2 linked regions of the Coturnix japonica genome follow. Each later gene encodes a partner of the first gene's protein in a complex. Links are inferred from orthologs where the notes say so. Each region holds a gene or a part of one and is shown on either strand. Other genes may lie near its edges.

The links.
Region 2: the proteins of LZTS1 (region 1) and ASB7 are in contact, whole or in part, in a crystal structure (PDB 8Y1U), measured with the Homo sapiens proteins. The link is inferred for Coturnix japonica from reciprocal best matches to the Homo sapiens genes LZTS1 and ASB7. Residues at the interface, in NP_001349813.1 of Homo sapiens: Arg346, Glu348, Leu349, Leu352, Met353, Glu355, Gln356, Leu358, Leu359, Glu360, Lys362, Leu363, Arg364, Ser365, Tyr366; in NP_937886.1 of Homo sapiens: Asn46, Trp48, Ala56, Ile79, Phe82, Tyr87, Met90, His91, Asp116, Trp118, Val123, His126, Tyr127, Ser147, Lys149, Thr151, Gln155, Leu156, Ile159, Arg160, Phe182, Arg185, Tyr186, Ile189, Lys190, Arg210, Leu220, Leu223.

Annotation. Positions count from the first base shown.
Region 1 is NC_029537.1:2,920,318-2,932,017, reverse strand, and holds the start of LZTS1 (leucine zipper putative tumor suppressor 1), read right to left. Parts: upstream 6,902-11,700; 5' UTR 6,795-6,901; intron 3,591-6,794; exon of another isoform or gene 1-3,590. UniProt on the Homo sapiens protein: Involved in the regulation of cell growth. May stabilize the active CDC2-cyclin B1 complex and thereby contribute to the regulation of the cell cycle and the prevention of uncontrolled cell proliferation. May act as a tumor suppressor.
Region 2 is NC_029525.1:15,701,227-15,712,243, reverse strand, and holds part of ASB7 (ankyrin repeat and SOCS box protein 7), read right to left. Parts: intron 6,549-11,017; 5' UTR 6,450-6,548; intron 3,625-6,449; 5' UTR 3,575-3,624; coding exon 3,364-3,574; intron 1-3,363. UniProt on the Homo sapiens protein: Probable substrate-recognition component of a SCF-like ECS (Elongin-Cullin-SOCS-box protein) E3 ubiquitin-protein ligase complex which mediates the ubiquitination and subsequent proteasomal degradation of target proteins.

The sequences.
Region 1 (11,700 bases):
GCAGATGCGCCCACACATTTCGGTGTTTGTTGGGAGGTGCACGGATAGCACAGGAGCAGCAGCAGCAGCAGCTGCCAAGAGCCCAGATCTGGGAGCAGCATCCTTCCTTTTTCCCTCAATGACTGCCAGGTGATGTGCCCACGTTTTGCTCAATGATCTGGGTCTTTTGAGACACAAAGAATGTGGCCCTAGGGGGAAACATGGGCATTTCTATGGTGGAAAGCAATGCATGTGCTGCCTGCAGCATCTGGTTAACGACTTAATGAAGAGGTGGCTTAATCCAGAACTTGGAGAGCAACAATCTCACTGGGCTGGGATTGAGATCTGGAATGAAAACTGGGATCGAATGGTTTGGATTTCAGTGCTAGCAAACACAGGACTGAGGATACGGACAGTCCATGTGTGAGCATCCATGGGGTGAGCATACTGTGCCTATACCCAACCCAACTCCTCATTTCCAGCTCCTCCAACCCCCCTCACTTTGGTCCCCATGGAAATGGCAGCTATAAGGCCTGGAGAGCCCCATCAGCAGCACCGACCTTGCCCCCACCCCGTGATCCTCACCCTCATCTCCCTAATGGGAATGAACTCAACACCGCCCAGGCAGGCGCTGTCCTTGCGGTGCTGCATTGTGGCTCGGTGCTGGCAAAGGGCCCCAACGACAAGGCTTTCATTCACTCTAATTCATTGTCCCCTCTGCTCATTCATTGACATTCATTGGGATCATTTTGATCGGAGGCAGCGAGTGAATTGCAGCGGGGCTCACAAAGCGCGCGCCATGTGTTCTGCCTTGATTTGCCATTAGTGAAGGGGGACACTCCAGATGAAGAATAACCAGCCTCAATTACATGTTACATCCACTCTAATAGCCCAGGAGTCCATCACACTTAATGTTATTTCAATGAACACTGGGAGAATTCACACCCCCCCCTCTGACTGGTGCTTGTTAGAGGAGGCAGCAGTGCCTTTGGCAGAGGGTTTGGTGGGCTCAATGCCAGAGCAGCAGCCATAGCCTGTGCTGTGCCAGTGTCCCCTGGCAGCTGGGCTCCTGGTTTGTTGCATTGAGCAACTACAAAGACATCCAGACCCACTTTGGAGCTCATTGGCAGCACCAAGTGCTGCTGACTTGCACCCAGGTCCTGCAGAATGTCTTGGGTGCTCTTTATTTCATCAGCATTGGGAAAAGCAGAAGGAGCTGCAGGCACCTGTGTAGCGTGCAGCCTGGTCCTGACCCTGGGGTGAGCCCACAAGTGGCCTTAATGGGCGTTGGTGTGATGATGTAGGTGGCATTGAGGCGCCTGGATTAAGCCACGATTAGGGAACCCGGTACTAGGTAAGAGGAATTTCTTGAATTAACAATGAATCATATTGGCACAGAGAGCTGGAGAGGATATTGACTCAACACCCGCTGCGCAATGCCTCCTCTCACTCCGTCTGATCCCTCTGTGGGGAAGCCGATGTATTTCCCTGTGCAGAAACCCTGCTGGAGGCAGGGAGAGGCTCCTGCACTGCTGCGGATGATTGCACAACCTGCAGAAATACAAGTCAGCAAAGCCTGGACTTCAAGTGTCTGCATTCCTGCAGAGCCTTGTGCTTTCTGCGCTGCTAATGCTTACTGGACAGTTCGCCTACGCTAATAGCACATGCTGCTACGTGGGCTACAGAAGTGACAGATCATGTTTTTTGCCTCTCCAACCCAAGAGGGACTTCAGAGCAAGACCAACCATGAGCACTTGGTGCTGGATGGCCACAGCAGGCTGTTATATTCAGGAGAAGCTGTGATTTCTGGTGCCCAAAGGAGATGATTCCCAAAGGGACTGCCCTATAACACACTGCACTCAGTGCCCCCCAGCTCAGGGATGCACTGCCCTGTAGGGTTGCTATGTGAGCTTATGGTGGAGCTCCATCTCCCAACCTTCACCTGGCTGTGCAGAAAGAGCCCCACATATGCTACACAAGAGCACCCTGAGCTGTTCCAGCTTTGCCCTGCTCCCATAGTGGATAGACCCTGGCACCTGGTGAATCAGCATCCAAGCAGCACCCAGATGTCCTCACAGTCATGTTCCCAGCACAATGGAAATGTGTTTGCATGAGACACACTTAAATATTCCTTGGGTGGGGAGAAAGATCCTTTCAGCTCACTTCACTCCTAAGAGCATCTGGCTTTTCCTGCTAACAAGCAACCAACGCTGCAATTAAAGCCCTGCTAATTGGAAATGCAGAAATGCTCAGGTCTGGTGACACCCAGGATTCCTCTATTGAGCTCTGATTTTGCAGCCCCAGGATGGGAGCTGAGAGGGTCTGTAGGGTTGGCAGGTGGGAATCGACCACGTCGTGCCCTAGAGCTGTGGGCTGCTTATTTTGGGAACAGTCTGGGGCTGGCAGCTGGTGCTGGGGTGGGTGACAGCTGAGCATGGCTTTCACTTGGGATCTGCGAGGCCCCTTCTCACGCATCTATTTCCGACCCTGTAAAACACAATCTGGCAGGGTGTGAGGATAGAGGGGGGAGCACCCAAAAAAAGGGGGGGCTGGCAATGGGCTGCCTCGCCTGGCAGGTGCCCCTGAGCGTGGTTGGGATGTGCAGAATGCTGTCCTTCCATCCCTACAGCTCAGCGCAGTGTCTGTCCCGCACGTCTTCCTTGAGCTTCTTTTATTTTTTTTTCCCCAGGATCTCATTGATGCAAAAGATGCAGCCAGAAATAGCGAAAGCTTCACGTAACCAGAGCTGTGCCCTAAATACGGCTCCTCCTGGCTTTCCGTTCCATGAGCTCTGCATGCATCTTCCTCTGCCCCCCCCACCCCCAATCATGGGTATGGCATGAGTGAGTGATGGGATGTCTGTTGCCCTATGGGTTGTACCAAGGTGGGAGCACCAAGGTTTTCTCCCATTCCCTTAAATAACCAATTCCCTCCCTGTTCCAAACTGAGACTCTGCTGCAGCCCCCCCGGAGCACATGGAGGAGAAGCATCTTCTCCATGGACAGGGAAGAATTTAGATCTGGAGCTGTGGGCTGCCATGGAGACCAGGCTCCATCTGCAGAGCTCTTCTTGCCTACCCCCCCCAGCAGGCAGAGGAGCAGCCAGGAGCCCTTGTCTCCTCCATGCTGCTGCCCCTTCCCCTCCCATGGGCTTTGAGTGCCTTCTGGGGCTACAAAAGCAAATCCATGTTCTCTGGGCGCTCTGCAAAGTGCTGGGAGGGGAAAATCACTAGCCTGGATAGCTGAGGGCTCTCAACCCCTGACTTAGCAGAAAGATGATATCAGGGAAAGAATTTCTCTAAGGTAGGACTTCATGTCTACCACCAAACCAAGGCACTCTGTGTTAAGCCCACATTGGCTTCCTGGCACCTGAGTTTCAGAGCAAAGCCATGCACTCCTTCTGCACCATCATCCCCTGTCTGCGGTACCAGTTGTGCTGTGATTTCTCTATTTCTGCACCCCGTGCAGTGCTCAGCCAAGACAGAGCTGAGAAAAGGCAACTTCTGCCTGCTGACAACAAGCCAGGCTCCATCCCTACCATGCAGAGCATCTGCTGTGATGCTGCTGCCTGCTCATCTCCTCCAGCTCCTTTCCAGAGCATTACATTCCCCCATCCCTGCTCTGCTCAACTGCTTCGGTGCAGCAGCCACAGAAGGGAAAAGAAAAGGCAAATTCATTTCTCGCTTCCTATTTCCCTCCTCCTCTTTTTATCCCCCCCCCTCCTCGAATTGGCCCATTGCGCATTCCACCCCTTTAATGCCTGGCTGCCAAATGGAGCAGTTCTCTCCGAAGAGAAATGCACATCAAAGTTGCAGGGAATATTCAATTAACCTTTAAATAAGATCATCCACAAGTGGCTGATGGAGATGGCGTTTAATTGTTTAAAATAAACCAAACACAGCCGCTTGCATTTCAGAGGGGGGCATTTCTGTGATCCAGCTCTGCCTTTTGCTGCTGTTAGGGCTGATGTTTTGCTAAAAGGCAATTAAATATCGAGATACGCCTTCCAACTTTCCCTCTGACACCATTTGCTTCTGCAGGATTGGAAGGGAATGCGTTTCTCCCTTCTGCATGCAGGAATCCGCTGCTCGGTGGAGATGCTTGCTCCATAGATCCCTAAGAAATAATTAAACCCCCCCCTTTATCCCAAAGGAGGACAACATGCATTGCTACCCTCTGTTGGAAGGAGCTGCCTTGCTGAGGCCTTGCAATAGGATAACAGAGGTTGCTTTTAGCTCAAGAACTTTGCAGGAGGAAGAGGAAGGGCTGAACGCAGCTGCCTTGAGCTCCCAGCTGCAGAGTGCTGCAGGAACAGCATCCCAGCCCAGCACTTCCAGAACCAACCCACCCAGCCTTCCTGCTCTAGGGGGGCCCTTAACACCCAACAACGCTGGCAAACAGCCCCTGCAGGAAATCCTCTGTGACCCACATGCCAAACCTTCGTGCATTCCCTGCTATTTTTAACTCATTTTTAACTTTAACCACCCACGTTGCTCCTGCCCGCACCCCTGCAAGCAGCTCACAGCCCCCAGATTGCAATGGTGAATAGGGCAGAGGGGTTTCAGTACCTCCATAAGAACTACTTATCAGTGCATGCAGCATTCAGGGGCTTCAGCAGCAGTTTGCTGCAGCAATGCTATTGTCACACTTATCCATTCAATACTTTGGGGGTGATACTGGGAGCTCTCACTGCTGCATGTGGTTTTGAATGGGTTTTTTGCATGGTCCCAAAGGGGGTGGGGAGCTGCTCCATTCCTCTGTCTCCTGGTTGTATAGAGCCTGCTTGGCGGCTGCCCACCTCTTGCATGCCTTAAATGCCTCACCTGAGTGTGTGCTGAGCATGACTGTACCTGCCTGCAGCAAATAAAGGCTTTCAGGAGGGGAAAACAGCGATTGAAGGTGAATGATAGCATTGGAGTGAGGAGGGATGAGATGGGACTGAAGCTCTGAGGTGCCCCAACCTGCATCCCAGCACCTGCTGGCATCACTTTCACACGTCCCTCTGCTTGGAGCAGGGTCTGCCCTTGTCTGTATGGGCTGCTCTGCCTGTTGGTCCTTTACACCCATCCCTCTTCTTGAAATCATTCCTTGAGCCTCAAATTCATTCGCCTCCCACCTCTGCACAGCGCCAAGGAAGAGTGACTAAGGGGTGGGTGGAAGGAACGGCTCAGGACTGATTTAGCAGCCCCGGTACCAGGAGGAGGGGGGGGGGGGTCAATAGAGGCACAGCTGGGGGCACACAGAGCCCAGTGGGAGCCACGAGCATCCCCCGCAGCGCCCAATTGTGCTCCCGAGCTCACTTTTGCAGCTGCCATTAATTGCCCCCCTCCGCTGATTGCTTGTGCCGATGGGGTTGGTGTAATTCTTTGTCCCGCTGATTAATGGCCCTGGTGATTAATAGCATGGGGTGGGGGGGGTCCTGGGCTGGATGGAGGTGTGAGCCCGTGGCCGTGAGCGCAGCTGGTGGGGGAGGCTGGGATCAGGCAGCCAGGCAGGCTGCATTACTGATTATTTCAAAAGGAAGGTTCGTTGGCGTCTGGAGCGATGCTATCAGTGAGACTGATAGCACAGACTTTGTTTCCTGCTCGTGTTGCACTTGCTGCAGCCTTCGAGGAGGAAAACAAGCTCTCCGGAGGAATCTGGACGACCATAGGAAGTGCTGAGTGAACACCAGGCTGCTCCCTGTGCTGAGTTCTCAGGTCTCAGCTCACTTGTCAGCACCAAAATGCCCTTATAGAGTGGTGTGCAATGGGGAGGAGGTGCCTGGGGCACGGCACTGCTGGGGGGTCAGCCAAAGGGGACAGCAGGAAACCAAATACAGAGTGCCCATCAGCAGTGATGCAGATGGAGCTGGGGTGTACAGGGGGAGGTCAGCGATGGAGGTATGGCTTTGAGCTCATTCATATCCCTGAGCCAACAGATGTGTGTTGGACCCACTGGGAGCAGTTGGGTTCAACACACCGATGAGCAGATAAATGCTCCTGAACCTGAGAATAGTTGTGGGTATCCCACCCTTTGGAGACAGCAGGGTGCAAACTCCTAAGGAAGATAGGAGTGCAGTGCTGGGGCTGAACGCTGTCTCTATGGGGCTCTATGGAGTTGATGAGAAGGGAAGACCCAAACTGACTCCCACCACAACCACAGCAACAAAGCCCAAGCTCTGCTTCTAAGGGCAGAGATGAATCGCTGGCTTTCCAGGATCGGAGAACTCTGCATCCTCTGCTCATCCTCACCTCTCCCCGTGCACACATACACACACACACAGGACGGCACCGGCACAAGGAAAGGCTGACACACGACCAGCAGAGCCCAGCTACAGGCTCACAATCAACATCCCGACACCATCAGCCCCCGCACACGGAGGAACCACAGCAGCCCCCTGCACCCACGCCGCCCACCCGCTTTCCCCACGCTCTCCCAAGCAAATCATTTCCTACACGAGCACGGCACGATGCCCACAGCAGCCCAAAGGCAGACGGACATCCAGCTGTACGTTTCCCAACGACCAGCAGCCCGACCCGAGGTGCTGATCACGCACACTTCCCCTTCTCTCCTTTCCCCTTGAAGTTTGCCACACTTGGGATGGAAGAGATGGAGCAGAGCCCAACACCGCTCGTATTACGGGGCCGGGGACACCCTCAGGACCCCATCGGATGTGGGGTACCCGAATCCCGGAGCTCACGGCTGGGAGCGATGCTCGCTGCCGTCCCCAGCCGCCCGCTCCCCCCATCCGCAAACCCCTCCGCTCCGTTCTGCCCCCCATCCCCGACGGTTCCCGGTCCCCCCGCACCGCCCCCAGCCCCGATGGGTTCCTACCTCGTGTGGCCGCAGCCCGCAGCGCTCCGCGGGGCTCCCGGTGCGTGCCCGGCAGCAGCATCCCCGCTCGGAGGCGGCGGAGGAGGAGGAGGAGCTCGGAGCCCCGCGTATCGGCCCGCCCCGCTGCAGCCCCCGGCCTTTGTGTCCCGGCCGTGCCCCCACCTCCCACCTCCCCCCGCCCCAAGGCCGGCACGGGGTGTTGGGGAGAGATGGGTCGCTTTGCTTCCCAGACTTGGGGCGAGGAGGGGGTTAAAGGAGGACAAGAGGTGCTCGGGTTGAGCGACTGGCACCGTCGGTGTCTCTGAGCATGGGGAGAACCCAAAGCTCCGAGCAGCAGCCGGCAGGAGAAGGGGGGGGGGGTACAGCTCTGCTACACCTCATCCAGGGCAGGGGCTGGGACGGCAGACTCTGCTTTCTCCCAGCCTGAATCACATCATTCCCCAGCCACATTCCCAGCCCTACAACAGAGAACTGAGCTTTGGGACCATGACCAGAGCTGCCTAAGAGTTGGAAGGGGAAACTGAGGCACAGTACCTGCAGATCTGCACCAGCTCCAACAGGCTCAGGGCCAGCCAAGCTGCCCGGCAGCAGCAGAGCAGCCTCGATGCTCAGTGAAGTGGCTTTGGCTCTGCAAACAACCCCCCCCTCCATAAAGGTTCATACATGCCCGTCCGCATGCGTTTACTGGGTGGAAAGGCAAATAAATGGAGGACATGAGGAGCTGAGCTGCAACATGTACACTGCTGCCACTCTGGCTCCTGCACTGCTGGGCCCAACTTGACCTTTCAGGCAGCAAAACTGCCCCAAATGCAGCAAGCTGAGGTCAGCACAGGCAGCCTCCCTGGGTAGCTCTGTTTGCTTCTTCCTTGCTCTCTGGGTCTCTCATCTCATCCCACCCCAGGCAGCTTTCCTGCCTGCTGGCCGTGCCTCAGCCTGACGCAGCACTCAGGAATGCACACACTGACTGGCAGCACATCAGGACTTGCCCCACTCATGGAGCTGCGTGGCTGCATCTCATCCAGGTGTGCAGCGAGTAAAGCTGCTCCTGCACTGCAAGAGGGAACAACAAGTGGGTCCCCAACCCCGCGTCAACGTAACAAATGAGTTGGGGGGAACAGAAAGCAAGCCAGCACATTGCTAAAGCCTCATGGCCAGGGTTAAAGACAGTCCCAAAGTGGTTGCGCACTGTGCTCCCATCTGCCCACAGCATCCCATGGGAGCAGGCTCCTGGTGCTGCCTTTGGCACATGGGCACAAAGCTGTGTGCCAGGGTTTGCTCACACGCTGCAAGCACTGCAAACCGGAGAGGCGAGCTCTACCCCAGCCCTGCCCTATGCTCAGGTGTTGGAGAGCTGCAGCATTGGGGTGGAGCAGAGCAGCAATGAGGGCTCAGCTCCGCTCAGACCGCAGCGCTTTGATTTATGGCAGATGAGATCCACCTCCTCCCCCCCCCCCCCCCCCCCAACTTCTGAGATGAAAAAAAAACACTTCTTTTGTTCTCATGAAGCGCTTTGAAGATGCAAGGCAGGCTGGGAAAGTGAAGTGCTCCCCCCCCCCCCCCCCCAATCTTTTTTTGTGTGTGTTAATATTGTTTCCTGGCAGCTTCGTTAGTTTCTCTGCTGATTTGAGCAACGCTCCCACAATCCCGCGGGCGCCTCATTGCCTTGAAAGCAGTCAGCTGGAATTTGCTATTTTAGGAGCGAGAAATTGGAGAGAGGAAGAAGAAAGAAGGAGAAGGAGACAGAGAAGAAAGAGAAGAAGAGAAGTGTATTCCCGTGAGTGCGGAGGAACGATTTAACAGGGTTTCAGTCAAGGGGAAAAAAGGCATAAAAAAGAATTACGGTTCATTTTCGTTCGAAACGGGGCTTCGTGTTTCTACAGTAAGTCATAACAAAACAAGGCAGCAAAGCCAAGAAGTTATCTGTACCAGATGGGGCAGCGGTTGTGTCTGCAAGCTTTACAGCAATCGTCCTGACTTGATTGTGCAGCGATGGAGCTCAGTGTGCAGCCCTTATCATGGAGGGGGGGATGCTGTGTCATCTCCCTGTCCCCCAAGCATGGCAGCCCCATTGGCAGCAGCTCATCCTGGCTGTAAATTGCCCTCCCTGACCCATCCGTCCTGCACAAGCCAGCACTTGTACTGACTGCTGTGCCCTCAAACGAGTCTGACCTGTGGGTCTGCCTCACCTCTCAGCCACATGGAAGGTTTCCCAGCATGAAGCAGCCCAGGGAAGAGCAGCAAAGGGCACTTGTGGAGCAGGGTTTATTGCAGGGCTCATTGCATGGATCACTGCAGGGCTCACTGCATGGATCATTGCAGGACTCATTGCAGGGCTCACTGCATGGATCACTGCAGGACTCATTGCATGGATCATTGCAGGACTCATTGCATGGATCACTGCAGGGCTTACTGCAGGGCTCATTGCATGGATCATTGCAGGGCTTACTGCAGGGCTCATTGCATGGATCATTGCAGGGCTCATTGTAGGGCTCACTGCATAGATCATTGCAGGGCTCATTGCATGGATCACTGCAGGACTCATTGCATGGATTATTGCAGGACTCATTGGCACTCCCATCCACTGCTTGGGCAGATGCTGCTGATCACCCTCCCGCATACTTGCCCTGGCACAGCTCTAAGTGGTTCCGTAGATTGAAAACGAATCCTATTTCCTTTGTATATAGCTTGAAAGATAAGCAAGTAATCATAAAGTGGAGATTGCTCTTCTCTTTTATTTTTTGCTAACAGATTATTTACAAATCCATTGAAATTGGGTATAATATAATATAAAAGCTCGTGCCAATTGAAGGAAATTACAAGAGAATAAGGTCAGCACTAAAAGCAAGGAGTAGGTGTATTTAATGGCTTTTCTCCCTACAGACCCAGGAAGCAATACTGGAAACAGGGATGGGAAAAGGAACCGAACCCACATGGGACTTTATTTTGTGCTTTTTGAGCAGCAACCTGGGCAGCACAGGAAGGGCAAGGACCACGCTCAGCCCTCCCAATGGAAGCTGTGCTGAGCACTGAGCTTGGCACGGCTCTCCCAGCCCAGCAGTGGTCTCAGTGGGGGAGATGAAGGCTGAGATTCAACCCCAGCCCCATTCAGACCCCGATCCCATTGCACTGTGCTCGAGGGTTTCGCTCCCAGGCAGTTTAGCAGTAACAAACAGACCAAAGGTCATGAGAAAATGGTATCACACCAGAGCTCGTAAAGGCAGCTTGAAATTTCCTCTCCCACTTCTGGGATTCATCCGCTCCTTTCCCATTAAAATTAATGATAAGAGCTCATCCATTTCTCATCTCCTCGGTCGCTTCGCAGCCTCTTCCTTTGCTTGATGCTAAAACAGAGACAAGCCCAGACCACGTCCCCAGAGCCTCAAAGCAAAGTTTGCTTTTGCAGTTAAACAAAGCAGCTTCTCCCTGCCCGGCAATGTTGCAAAACAGTGATATGTTATTGTGTGGCTCTCATTATTGATCTGTGGTGTTCATCTGATGAGCTGCGCCAGTCACACCGCCACGTCCTGCTTTCCCAGCCCAGGTCTCATGCAACAGGGATTCCTCCTAAGCACCATTTCACTGCGGGGGCTCTGAAAGCAAACAAAGTTTCTAGCTCTCAAGGTTTTGTACTGAGTATGGGGTGAATAATAAGATAAAAAGGACCCAGCTTCCTCTCGGGACTATTCAGTGCTCAGCTCTGTTTGCTTCTGCTTCATCAGCCTCCAAACCCAAATCCCCCTCAATAATTCAGCAGAGCTGCTGTGCTGCTGGTCTAAATAATTCATCCTGGAGCTTTGAGGAGGAAAACGTGGTTACATCTCCCTTCAGAGTGTGGCTCTGGGGCTCCCTGTGCCTTTTCCAAGCAGATTTCCTCTGATCAGAGGATGCTCTGCTTGCGCTGAGGGCTTTGTGGGGAGCAGAGTTCTGTGCAATCACAGGCACTGGGGATGGGAGCAAAGGGAATAAAAGGAGAATAAAGGGAGAGCAACTCCATGCTCCTTTGCTCCATCCTAAAAGCACCAAGGGCTGCACGGGCCGTCTCCAGGAGACAGAGGGAAGGAAACGAGAAGGGAGGTGTTGTTTGGGTTTGTTTCCTATTTTCTCCAGGGAATGAGGATGAGAGCAGCTACAGCGAGGTCGGGGCTGCCAGGCAGCAGCGTGGCACAGCGTGGTGTTGTGTTTGCAAATCCTACTCACGGAGCTGACTTCTCCCACGGGGTATCACTGAGCAGCTCCTGCCAGCAGCCGGCTGCTCTCCGGAGCAGCAGACATATGGGCTGTTTTTCCAAGGGGCTGTTTCAATTAAAAATTCCCAAGGCAAAGCAGTAATGATCGGCCCAGCTGAGGACAGATTGGCTGCAAAGGGCATCTGTGCAAGCGGAGCAGCGCAGTGCAGTCCCTGTGCATTGTGGTTTCGGTGCTTGGTGTCGTAACATGCATTGCTCTGGAAGCATTTTGCTTAAATATTTATCAAACTCTTTCCAGGCCAAGGGGAGGAGGGACAAGGCTGGGATTGAGGACGGGCTGAGGGTAACGTTTATCTTGGAGGGAGCAAAAGAGCTCGAGCGTGGCAATGAGATACTGATCATCCCCAGGTCTTTTTCCTTTTCCCAACAAGCAATGCAAAAGTCACCTCACCCCCAGCTGCTCCGCTTGTATTTTCCATCCTTGCTGCGTCCCTGTGATAAGCAGCTGCCACACACCCTCACCCCACCACCCCTTCCTCCCTCGGTGTGGGACTGACCCTTATCTCTGCACCGCGTAATTTGATTTTCACGGCAGTGGGAGCATTGATGATTACCACAAGAAAAGAGATTTGCAGCTGGGCCTGACACCCTGTCACCCTCCTGCTCAGCCCTCTAGACTTACAGACACCTGGGGAGTGCTCCTTGCAGAGCTCCTGCAG
Region 2 (11,017 bases), on another chromosome or scaffold:
GTTAATGAGAGCTATTTCTAATACTGTAATCTAGAGAATATATAGGTTATTAGGAAAGAGTCTAAAATCTTAGTTTCAATTTACTGCTCAGTGCAACAGTTTCCCTTCTTTCAGGATGCTTTTGCTCTATCAGTTTAATTTGGGAAGCCAAGAACACAGAGCTACTGGTTTCATAAAGTACTTCTATCACTCCCCCACAACTAGGAATTAATTCAGACCACAACGTTTAGAAACATGGCTACATTTATCTTCTGTTTTGGATTTCCTAGGACAACACTGATACACAAGACCTCCATGAAGGCATTGCTGTTCAGACACAGAACCACTGTGAGTTGGTTTAGGAGGCTGAGCATTTGGCACTCAATCATTTCTTCTGGATTCTGCATGACCTTACTAAAAATTAAGATACCTTCCAGCCAAGACTAAAAATAAACATCTCTGTTTAGACACTTCCTTTTTTTAGTCTAATTTCTGGGAGCCTTCCCAAATCATTTCCTCGCATTAATGCAAGTAACAAGAAACTGTCCTGTTCAATTAGCATTGAGAGAACATCACCCAGAGACAGCTAGCAACTACACACTGACAAGGCTTCAGTGGACAGTTACTTCACTGGTGCTGGGAAGTTTTTGTCCAGTATTTTATTGTCAGTCTCTATATCATTTGGAAAGCAAAAAAAAAAAAAAAAAAAAAAAAAAAAAAAAAAAAAAAAAGGAAAATAAAAAAAGCATTTAAGGGGAATAAAGGTTTGTTATCTAAATTACTGAAAACTATCCCCTGTTTTTATGTTGCTCTCATACTGAGCTTTGTGACACTGGATTGTTCCTGTGGAAGGAAAGAGCATCTCCATTTCATTAAAATAAGACAAGTGCATTAAGTCAAATTCCCTGTTTCTGAATGAAAACTAAGTTTCTCTGGAGTTCTGATCAAGTTTCTGCATTTCATAAGAGTACTTTTATGATCGATTATCTCTGTACCTAGTTGCTATTTCTGCTGGCTTCATCTCTAAATGTGAGTTGTTAGTTTAGGCATTTCCCCATCTATCTGCCTCTCCTCCTTGTTTAGCAGAAAATAAACGCTTCCTCCTGTTCCACACCACCTCCACTCCCATCAGCCAATCTGCATGTACAGCACTGTCCCCTGGCTCTTTTCTTTGCTGGTAAGTGATGATGAAAAAGAAGAGAAAGAAAAAGTCAGAGACAGCTAGGTCATGACTCCCATAAGAAGCTACTTCTTATTTCCAGGTCAGTGATCAGAGTCTCTCTCAGTGCTTATTTGCCAAAATCCATCTCAAACCCACTACCACTCAAGCCTATGTCAGTGCTCCCACAGCATCCAAGATGTGAGGCATGGCACTCTTCCCCCAGCAACAGACCTGCATTTCCTTATTCCTGTACTTGAGAATAGTTCCAGCTCTGCTAAGCTCCACAACCACCAGACAGCCACATCTATCAGACTCCCCCTTTCTTCCCACTAACTCTCAGGTACCCTTTTTTCTCTCCACAACTCCACCTACTGCCTCCCCTTTATTACTAATACACACCCAGTCACTTCTGTGCTGTTTACCATAAGACTCATACCAGAAAATGACTTTTCCCTTCACTGCAATATCTTTTTGGTCCAAAGGGATTAACATCCATCATCAAATTAATCTACTTCAAGAGGGAGGAAAGGGGAGGCTGTTACAAAAGGCACACACAAACCTTTCTCTAATGAGGCAGGCTTGACTAAGTTTGCTTTTAACAGTCAGCTCATTGGCTCACTTGTGACATTATTATGTTTTAAATGCTCACTATCTTTTATGTGTGATTTGTTTTTTTTATATTATCTGTTTTGAGGGAAAACAAGGTAAGGCACAAATCAGTGCCAATTTTCTGAACGGAGGCTCAGCTACAGAAAAAGCTGCTGTAGATGACTAACCCTCACACTATTTGTTACTCAACTTTCTAGTCCTGGTGATTAAACTCTTGGCTGCTTACAGAACAAAGATGTCTCATTACAGGCAGCTTTCAGCAGGCATCAGATTCAGCTGGTACTTCATATGGAAAAGAATAACAACAAAAAAATAAAAACAAGACAAAACATTATGCCAGCAGCTATTTAATAGCAAAACCCATACAACTAAAGTAAGCAGGGTTTACAGGGTTTTTCTGATCATTTTAAAAACCACATCCTTTGAGACTCAGCTTAGAAACTTTGAATTATCAAACTAAAGAAGTCCTCAGATTATCTACGTATATTTCCTATAAAATGCAGAGTTTAAAGTTACATGTTTATGTAATTCAGTAGCTTTCCCCTCACCTCCAATAAGGACAGGAGAAATACCCAGTATTATACCGTTAGAAATTGCAGTAGGTATATAAATGGGGTCTAGATGTTTAGGCGATGTTTCACTACTCTAAAATAACACACCATGAATTGGGCAAACGCCACACTTTATTAATGCCATTCAATATTAAGGGCAACGTAGCATATGTCAGATGTAGAAATCTGAAACAAGGGGACTAGGACCAAACTTTAGATAAGTAAAGCACCCAAAAGGTAATTCAGTTAAGTTTTCATAAGAATAGAAGCCACCCTGATTCAGAATTAAGTTGATTAGAACAGTGTTAGAGTAAAGGATGCTATTCTTATAGAACACTACTCAGAAAGTGGAGGTCATCCCACTTTTGTTTTTTCCCCCTCATCTCACATTAAAGGCTTAAACCCAAGAATTTTTAAACCTATAGATGGCCTTAAAAGAAGATACAGAAAAGAATTCTGACTCTACATTTGTGGGGAATGAACACCACGCATGCAGTTACATCCCTTAAAACTCAATCAGTTCTTTAAAGCTTCAGTAGCAGTGGGTGCAGGAGAAGTGTGAACTCAGCTGGACTAGCTGACACCAATGTCTTTGCACAAAGTAATAATGTTTTCACAGAGTTTAGAAGACTGCATTAAAACCTAGATGGAAATTCAAACCTTTAATGTGACTTATTAACTTCTTCCCTAAGATTTCAACCCCAAGATCTGCCCTTCCTCTATTAACAGCCCCTAACAGTAGAAAGGCCCATAGCAAGTCCTGTGAGTGTGTTTAAGTTTATAATGAGCTCTTTGCCCTGTTTTTATAATGTGTATTCATTCTTTTAACAATTACTTGGAAATTCTGAAACAATGTCAGGTTTTATGTTATACAGCTAATCTATTACCTCATTCACAGAGCACGCATCGGACAGAAACGGAAATGAAGCACCAAAGAAAGAGGAAAAAAAAAGCCAAACAGAAGCAGTCTGGCAATTAAGTGACACTGGAAAGCCATACGATGGGAATTGGGATAGAGAGCTGTGAGCTGGGTATCAAGTTTTTTCTCTCAAGGCAACTCACCTCCATGTTCAAGAAAAACACGAACACATCTCTCTTTCCCTCTCGCAGCAGAGAAATGAAGCAGTGTCCAGCCATTGGCATCTCGACCATTTGGAGAATAACCTTGCTCCAGCATTTTGCGCACGGTGTGAACATCGCCAGCAGCAACCGCAGCCTGAATCTGCAATTCTTCCTGTAGCTCAGGGTTTCTCCGACAGTGATGGTGTAACATCCTAGCTGAGTCTGGCTTTTACAGAAGCGTCATGAGGTCACACTAGTCACCTTGAATCAATATAAAGCATGAATTAATTAGGACCACGATCAGGAAAGAGATCTAGAAAAACAATCAGTACTAGTAAAAGCAATGCTAAGATGTACTCCCTATATGCCGAGCAAAGTCATCTCATATATAGGATAAGATAAAGCACTATCTCACTATTGCTAGCAAAAGCCTGGTATATGATTCCCATCACTAAGCAGTAACTGAAGAGGACACTTGCATGTAATAAATAGTAAATATTTTCTTCAGAAGTGACAGCAAGCCACAGTTAAAGTACCTGAATGAGGAAGAGAATGAGGAATCTTGAGAACCCAATATTCATTCCAGATCACAGCATGGTTAATAACGCTGACTCAAGATACTATTGAATACATTCTCTAAACTGTTGCATGAAACAGTACTGTACTGCTAGAGCGACTGAACTATGACTTTCTCCCCTGCCTAGAAATAAATAACCTCTAAGAATAATTGAAAAAGTATGTTCAGATTACTAACAGAATGTTTTCTTGTGACCTCCTGCACAGGAATCCTAGAAGTATCAGTGTTCAAACTGACAACTTTAACCTCCTTTCTCCTTGCACTTTATTACTTACTTTTCTTTAAATTAGAATCTTCTGCCCATATTTTGGCTTTTGGGCTTCTTTATAAGTACATAAATGCTGTAAAGGATGTTCATATTCCAAAGATCTGACAAAGATAGTACTACATGAGACATGACAATGCAAATCAGAAAAATTCAATTTATAATTACCTTGATAAAGTATATGAGAATGCTGGGCTGAAAGGGTCTCTAAAATGGCCATTGCAAAAGAGCCTAGATACCAGCATACATTGGGAAAGAAATAAGTATAATATTCTGTGCTCTGTTTGAAAAGCACTCATCTGCAGTTCTACTTGCTACCCAGCTAGGGACAAGAAAAAAAATGCAGGTATTTAAGAATTCTTTCACAGTACAAAGTCTGTGAAGTGTTTGCATTTTCACATGCACTGTGTATCATATCCCATTAACAGCTACCCCTAGAATGGAAAAGAATAATCGAAGAAAGAATAAAAGCAGGGAAATGAAGAAAGGGAATGCTGAGTAACAGAAGTCACAGCAATTACCTAGAAACAACTGCAGTGGGTATTAACAATGAATTCAAAGATTTTAAAAGGGGGGAAAAAAGAAAGAATTTACATTGCTATAAAGTTAAGAGTAAAGTATAATGAGAAATTCTGAAGATGAAAACGAATTTTTAAGCAATCGTTAAAATTTATAGCAACCCTATTTTATCAAGATAGCAAACAACATCATCACCTAAACCTTCATTTACGCAAATATCATAAGGATTCCACATCCTCATGATTCATAGGTCATTCAAAAGACACCGCAATCAACTTCTCATATCCCACTAGGCACTTGTTTTCCTGTGATCCAGATATGCACACAGACAATAGAAAAGTGAAAACATCAATCACTGCCATCCTTTTGGATGAAGGCTTCGAGGGCTATTCACTCTACTTATAACCTACTTGTGCCCATTGCAAACGAATTATTATGTGCTGCCTGCAGAGAAACTAATAACAAACAGGTAGCTACAATCACCATACTTACACAGCAAAAGCTGAGATTATGTACAGCCAATGCCTGCCATTGACATTTATTGATGCTTCAAGATAGTCCGTATGCCAACATTCAGCATAGGGCATTAGAAGACAACTTCTTAGCTCAATACATGCCTTAGCTACAGATTCAGTTTTGTTTTATAGAATGAACTCCATTACCTGGCTCTGGAAGGAAAGGTGATTTACAAATTGGCACCTGCTAACTCAGGTTAGCAGCGGTTCAGCTTTTGCATTATAATAAAAAAAAAACAAACAACAAGACGAAACAAACACAATCAAACTTGACTAATCTAATGACAACAGAAGTATTTCTCTTGCCTGTAATATATTTTTGCTAAGCTCTGTTCTGAACTCCAGTTAGCACTTCAGAATGCTCTCACTTGCAGACAGTGAGCTTGACTTCATTAACAGTGCTGTTAATAGTGCAATCTAGAATGAAATTCCACCTATTAAGTAAGGTCAAGGGAGACCACACAAATAAGAAGAAATGGATTTTTCATTTAAGGAGCCAGCAGAATACCCTAAAACATACCTACAAAGACAGTTGGTTAAGAGAAAGCAAAGCTCTTCATATCACACTTCTCAGCTGGTGGGTACATTTGTAATGCAGCATTATAAAACGTTGGCACTGGCCCCATATGTTGCATGTGACTAGCAGAGCTTATTCAAATCAGCTAGTACTAAAGTACATAAGTACTAAAACATACAAAGCAGAAGACAAAGTCGAGCATAAGCAGCTCCTTTTATCACTTGTGTAGTTTCTGTGAGTATCTCCTCTTCTATCTCACCCCTATGGCAAGCAATAAAATTCAAATTACAAGAATATTTAACCACAACACTGAAGGTTTCAAGATAGCTCTAGACACATGCCAGCTTGGGAAATATGCTCACATCCACTCCACAGATCCCATTTACAAATCCACACTTACTGAGTCAATCTTTGGGGAAGAGAAGGGAGTCTACTGAAAGCCTTTCTCCAATAGGCACTTCATATTTAATGTTTTGCATATATAACCAATGTCACTGAGAACACAGGATGCAATTAGATTGCTGCAACATTGGCTTCTTATATGCAAGTAAAAAATTAAGATGGAAAGGTATGGAAAATACATACCTATACATTGTTAGTATTTGTACACTGCCATGACAAAAAGTGACAGTAACAAGAACTTAAGTGATTCTGCAAGTACAAAAGCATGAACTCAACATGTCCCTGAATTACCTTATAAGAGGTTGTCAGTCTTTGATGAATGTTCCATTCTTCATTTTCTTCACTATTCATAATCTTGTGTGTCCATGCGTGTCAAACAGCCTGCTAACCCTTAAAAAGAACGATATTTCTTGTTAGGTGCAAACAGTAAGAGTCAGAGGTCAACCTGTTTTTATCCTGTACCACTACTAGAGTGCTACATTTTAATGCAGTTATGTCAAAAAAGGCCACAAATATGTGGTTTTTCTTCCATTATCGGAGAGTACTTCAGACACTGGGGTGAGAAGTTTGCTTCTGCCAGGTGAAAAAAAAGCTACAGAGAATAATCTGTGGAAAACAAGAGAAACCAGAGATGTGCTTCCTCTGCAGAGTAAACCTTGAAGGAATCACCTAACCACTTCTCTGACAGTTTCACATATCTGTTCCTGCTATGGAACAAGAATGCAAAGGTTACTGTATGTATTTCTGCCCAACTGCTCAATGTTTTCCTGTGGGAGCCAAATGCCAGAAAAAAATAACTTAGGGATCCACTTGGCTTTTCCCAAGTGTTGGCTATTTATTTCCACCCCATCTGTGTTTCTCTGTCTCAAGAATACAACCTGAGAAGGTAGAGCGCTGCCTTTTCCCATTTAGCATCCAATGGTCCTTCAGCACCACTAGGTAAGCCTACTCTCCCCAACATGACCAACTCAAGCTAACATACACTGTGTTTTAGATAAGTGAACACACCGTTCTAACAGAAGCAATACCTTCAGTTCAAAAATCATCACCCTTTTCTTTACACCTAAACCCTTTCCTTTCAATATCCAACTTCACTGAACTCCAGTACCCATTCCTACCCAGCTCCCAGCCTTTCTTATCCTTCCTCCTGGCAGATAACAGCACCAGTCCCAACAGCTGACCTCTGCTCAAAGCACTGCCATGAGCCTTTCCTGGCCAATATTATTTCATTAAATCTCTGTACACTTCTGTCCAGCTGGCATTTCATCCACTTAGCCTGAAAGAACCCTTCAGAGAGGACCCTTCCCATTCTTACACACTGCAATAACGTAACAAATAATAAAAGCATTAATTACTTCATCGTATGGCAGATCACACAGACTGGGAGTTGTTTCTGTTGCATCAGAACAATTTTAAGAACTGAACCTTCAGCTTAAAATTTGTCACTTCGTGCAACATATGATTGTGCTTTGCTGACGATAGCTCAGAAAAAGAGGATGGAAAAAAAGCTCTCTTCATCCCTCGTATGCACGTTCTCTAAGAGCTTTGCTTCCCAAGATGAAACACACAAGGTCTGCAGATATGCTCACAGCCCCGCACGAAACTGCACTGCCATGACCTAATTTGATCACATTTCCAGCCTTGTTTTTGCATAGTTGATCAGTTGTTAGTTCACCTTCTCTTTTTTTTCCTTCTTCTTTTTAATTTTTGCATGATTTCCACTTAAAAACCCACACATTTTTTATTAGCTGATGCAAATTAGAATTGCACTGACTTCACAGACTACAGACAAGGTAACAGATTGCTCCACTAAAAAAGTAACAAGCATTTTTCCCCCCAAAGGAAAATTAGCTGCATATGGCAAGAGTAAGATCTGTAACTTTAATAAAAAGAAGTTATATTTAGTGAAAGTAAAGCTCACTTACTCAACCTGACAAAGTTTGCTTAAAACACTAATAACTCTAGCAAAGTAGCACACTAAAAACAAAAGGAACATCTTCCTTTTTGATTGATAAAGTACCATGTTGTTCAAGACAGACTTTTCTACATCAATACATCATTTCATTAAAGTCACTGCATATATCATGCAGAAAACGAATTCCAGCATGTGTATGCACTTGCTTCTAATGCACTATTTTGTCCATTCAGATGGCCAACAGGACTGAGCCCCAAGCACTAAGGTTACACAGACAACAGGAGGAGGACAATACTTCTTGGTGTCAACCTAACTGTATAAAGCAGGAAAAGCATATCATGACATGACTTAATGTCTAGCATGGAGCTAACCATCAAAGAGCATGGTTGTTTCTGAAGTATTCTAATACATTTAAACCGAAGAAATAACATAGAAGAAAGTCCTGTGGATTAAGGGTAATCAGCATTCATGATTCTCACAACCCACTTTTCCTCATCCCTTTCAGGACTCAAACAAGCTGAATGTGTTCTCATTCAAATGGCATTTTGAAAATGGACAGTACGTGTTTGACAAAGAGCTCAAATGCAACTATCATCTTCTTGTGTCACTTAGGTTCCTATTTTTTAAGCTCTATGGACGGAGAAAGAACAACAACCATATTATTGTGTTCTTATATTCCAACCAATGTCTGCAAAAAAAAGAAAAAAAAAGCATGAAATGCTAGTATTTCACAAGGCCTTACAATTGTGAGGGGCTGGAACCAGATGATCTTTGAGCCCCCTTCCAACCCAAGCTATTCTATGAATATATCTTATGTTAGCTGCTCTATGCTATATCCTGGACATCAAGTGAGGCATTCAAGTCTCTAAGTCACCAAAGCTTTAATGTATACTCCTGGCACCAAAAGCAGTGAGTCCATGATGCACGAATCCTCCTAAACACCACAAGAGAACAACTTCAAAGGAAAGAAGCTGCAGTCTTCATGAGTGATCATTAGAAGTTGTGCACTCATAAGGAATGTATCTGTAATGCCAACTTCTGGTTTAGACATATTTAAGGTAACAGAGCTAACCTAAAAGTGCTTCATCAGCTTCAGGTGTGTGTAGTACCAATCATGCTGCCATTATAGACTAACAAGCAGCTGTTGTGCTGTTACATTCTGCAGGTGACCAAAACTGAAGTTTGTAGGTATCATTTTACCAACTGTTACCCATGTAATGGTGAGATGTGAGGTCTGACTTTTGGGCCTGATGGAGAGCTAGGGAAACTGCCCAGCTCAAGTAACTGCAGGTCTGCAAACAGGACAGCAACAGCTAAGACATCATCTTCACTACCCACTGTTAACAAATCAGCTCAAACCATCCCCAAAATCCTCATCTGTACACTGGTAAACTTATCCACAAGTGGGACCTTGTGAAGAAAACGCCATAGATCTAATAATCTCATTGTTAGTGCTGAAGGAAGGCCTTACTGATCTTTTGCAGGTGAGAACGTTGCATCAGTTCATACAGCTGCAATGCTCCTTTCCCAGCCTGCACAGAGCACCTGCAGGGAGCCTGCAGCACGCTTTGAGATCAAGCATAAAAGGCAGCCCCACTGCTGACTTACCGTTAGCAAGCTTCAAACAGTATAAATATAGAGAAAACTTAACCTTAAAAGTAAGCAGTAATTCAGAGCAAGTGTTAAGGTGTAAGATTCACCCATTTTAATATTACTTGCTATCACTCAAGTATCCAAACACCAACTTTCCACTGAATGACAGAAGCAGGAAAAAAACCCTACAAACTAGTTTAAACCTCACTACAACAATTGTTTCAGTCCTACTACTCATGATACAACTGATGAGCAAAAAGAGCGCTGCTTATGGTGCTCATTTTATTTAACAGCCTCTGCAAAATGTGTATTTGCTCTGATTTTTTTTTAATAGGGCCTAGAAGAACCAAACTGGACAGAACTAATTGGATGACTTGAGCAGATAAAGCAATGGTGCTTCACTACAATAATGCCATTCTGCAAGCAAATGCTGGAACAGAAAACAGCCTCTCACTCCACACATTTGCTTTAAGGGTTTAGAATTCACAATTGGGAAAAACAAAAACAGTGAGTATGTAACCTGAAGCTAAAAATAAGAAAAACACTGGATATGCAACTTAATCTAAGGGGGTAGCTCTACTTGCAACATGCTGTGTTCCTTCCAGAGCCCGAGAGGAAGGCTACAGCACATCATTTGTCTCTCTTTCTTGTTTGGATCACATGAACATTGCTGGCAGAAGCTCATGCCCCAGTGCCTGTGAACCCAGTTCCAGCCTCTGCATCTGGATCAAACTTCATTGCATTGGCATCTCACATCAGGAAGGAGCCTAGCAACTCACAAACACATTTCTCAAAAGACCTAGTGGCTTAGGAGCACCAAGATGTTGCACTCTTTGAGTAGCTACAATGATGCAAGGTCTGATGTTAGATGTGACAGAGGGGTTACAAAGAGGTTGTTACAACAAACCAACATTGTACGAAACAGGTGCACCATGGCTGCACTGAAAAGTCAGCATTAATGCACTTGTCTTATCTAACAGCACAGAAGCCACTCCTGCAATCACAGTGGGCCTGTCTGCATGTTCCAGCATCATACAACTGGCTTTGTGGTATGCTATCAAAACAGCACAGACTATTTCTTCGCTCTGCTTTTAAAGTATATACCACAGAATTTGTTGTCCTTGTGTTACGGGGGAATTTTCCACTTCATCTTTACAGCACAACAGTGAAAACAACATTTCCACCATACGCTGAAGATACATCAGAATAAAGATCCACCCTTGACCACAGCAACAGGTACTGCATTTTCCACTGCAACTAACACTAGAAGGAATTCATTTCTGACAACAAAAACCATTCTGGTGCAGTCAGTGACATCTCTGAAAACAAGACAAAGACCAGTAGGACCCAT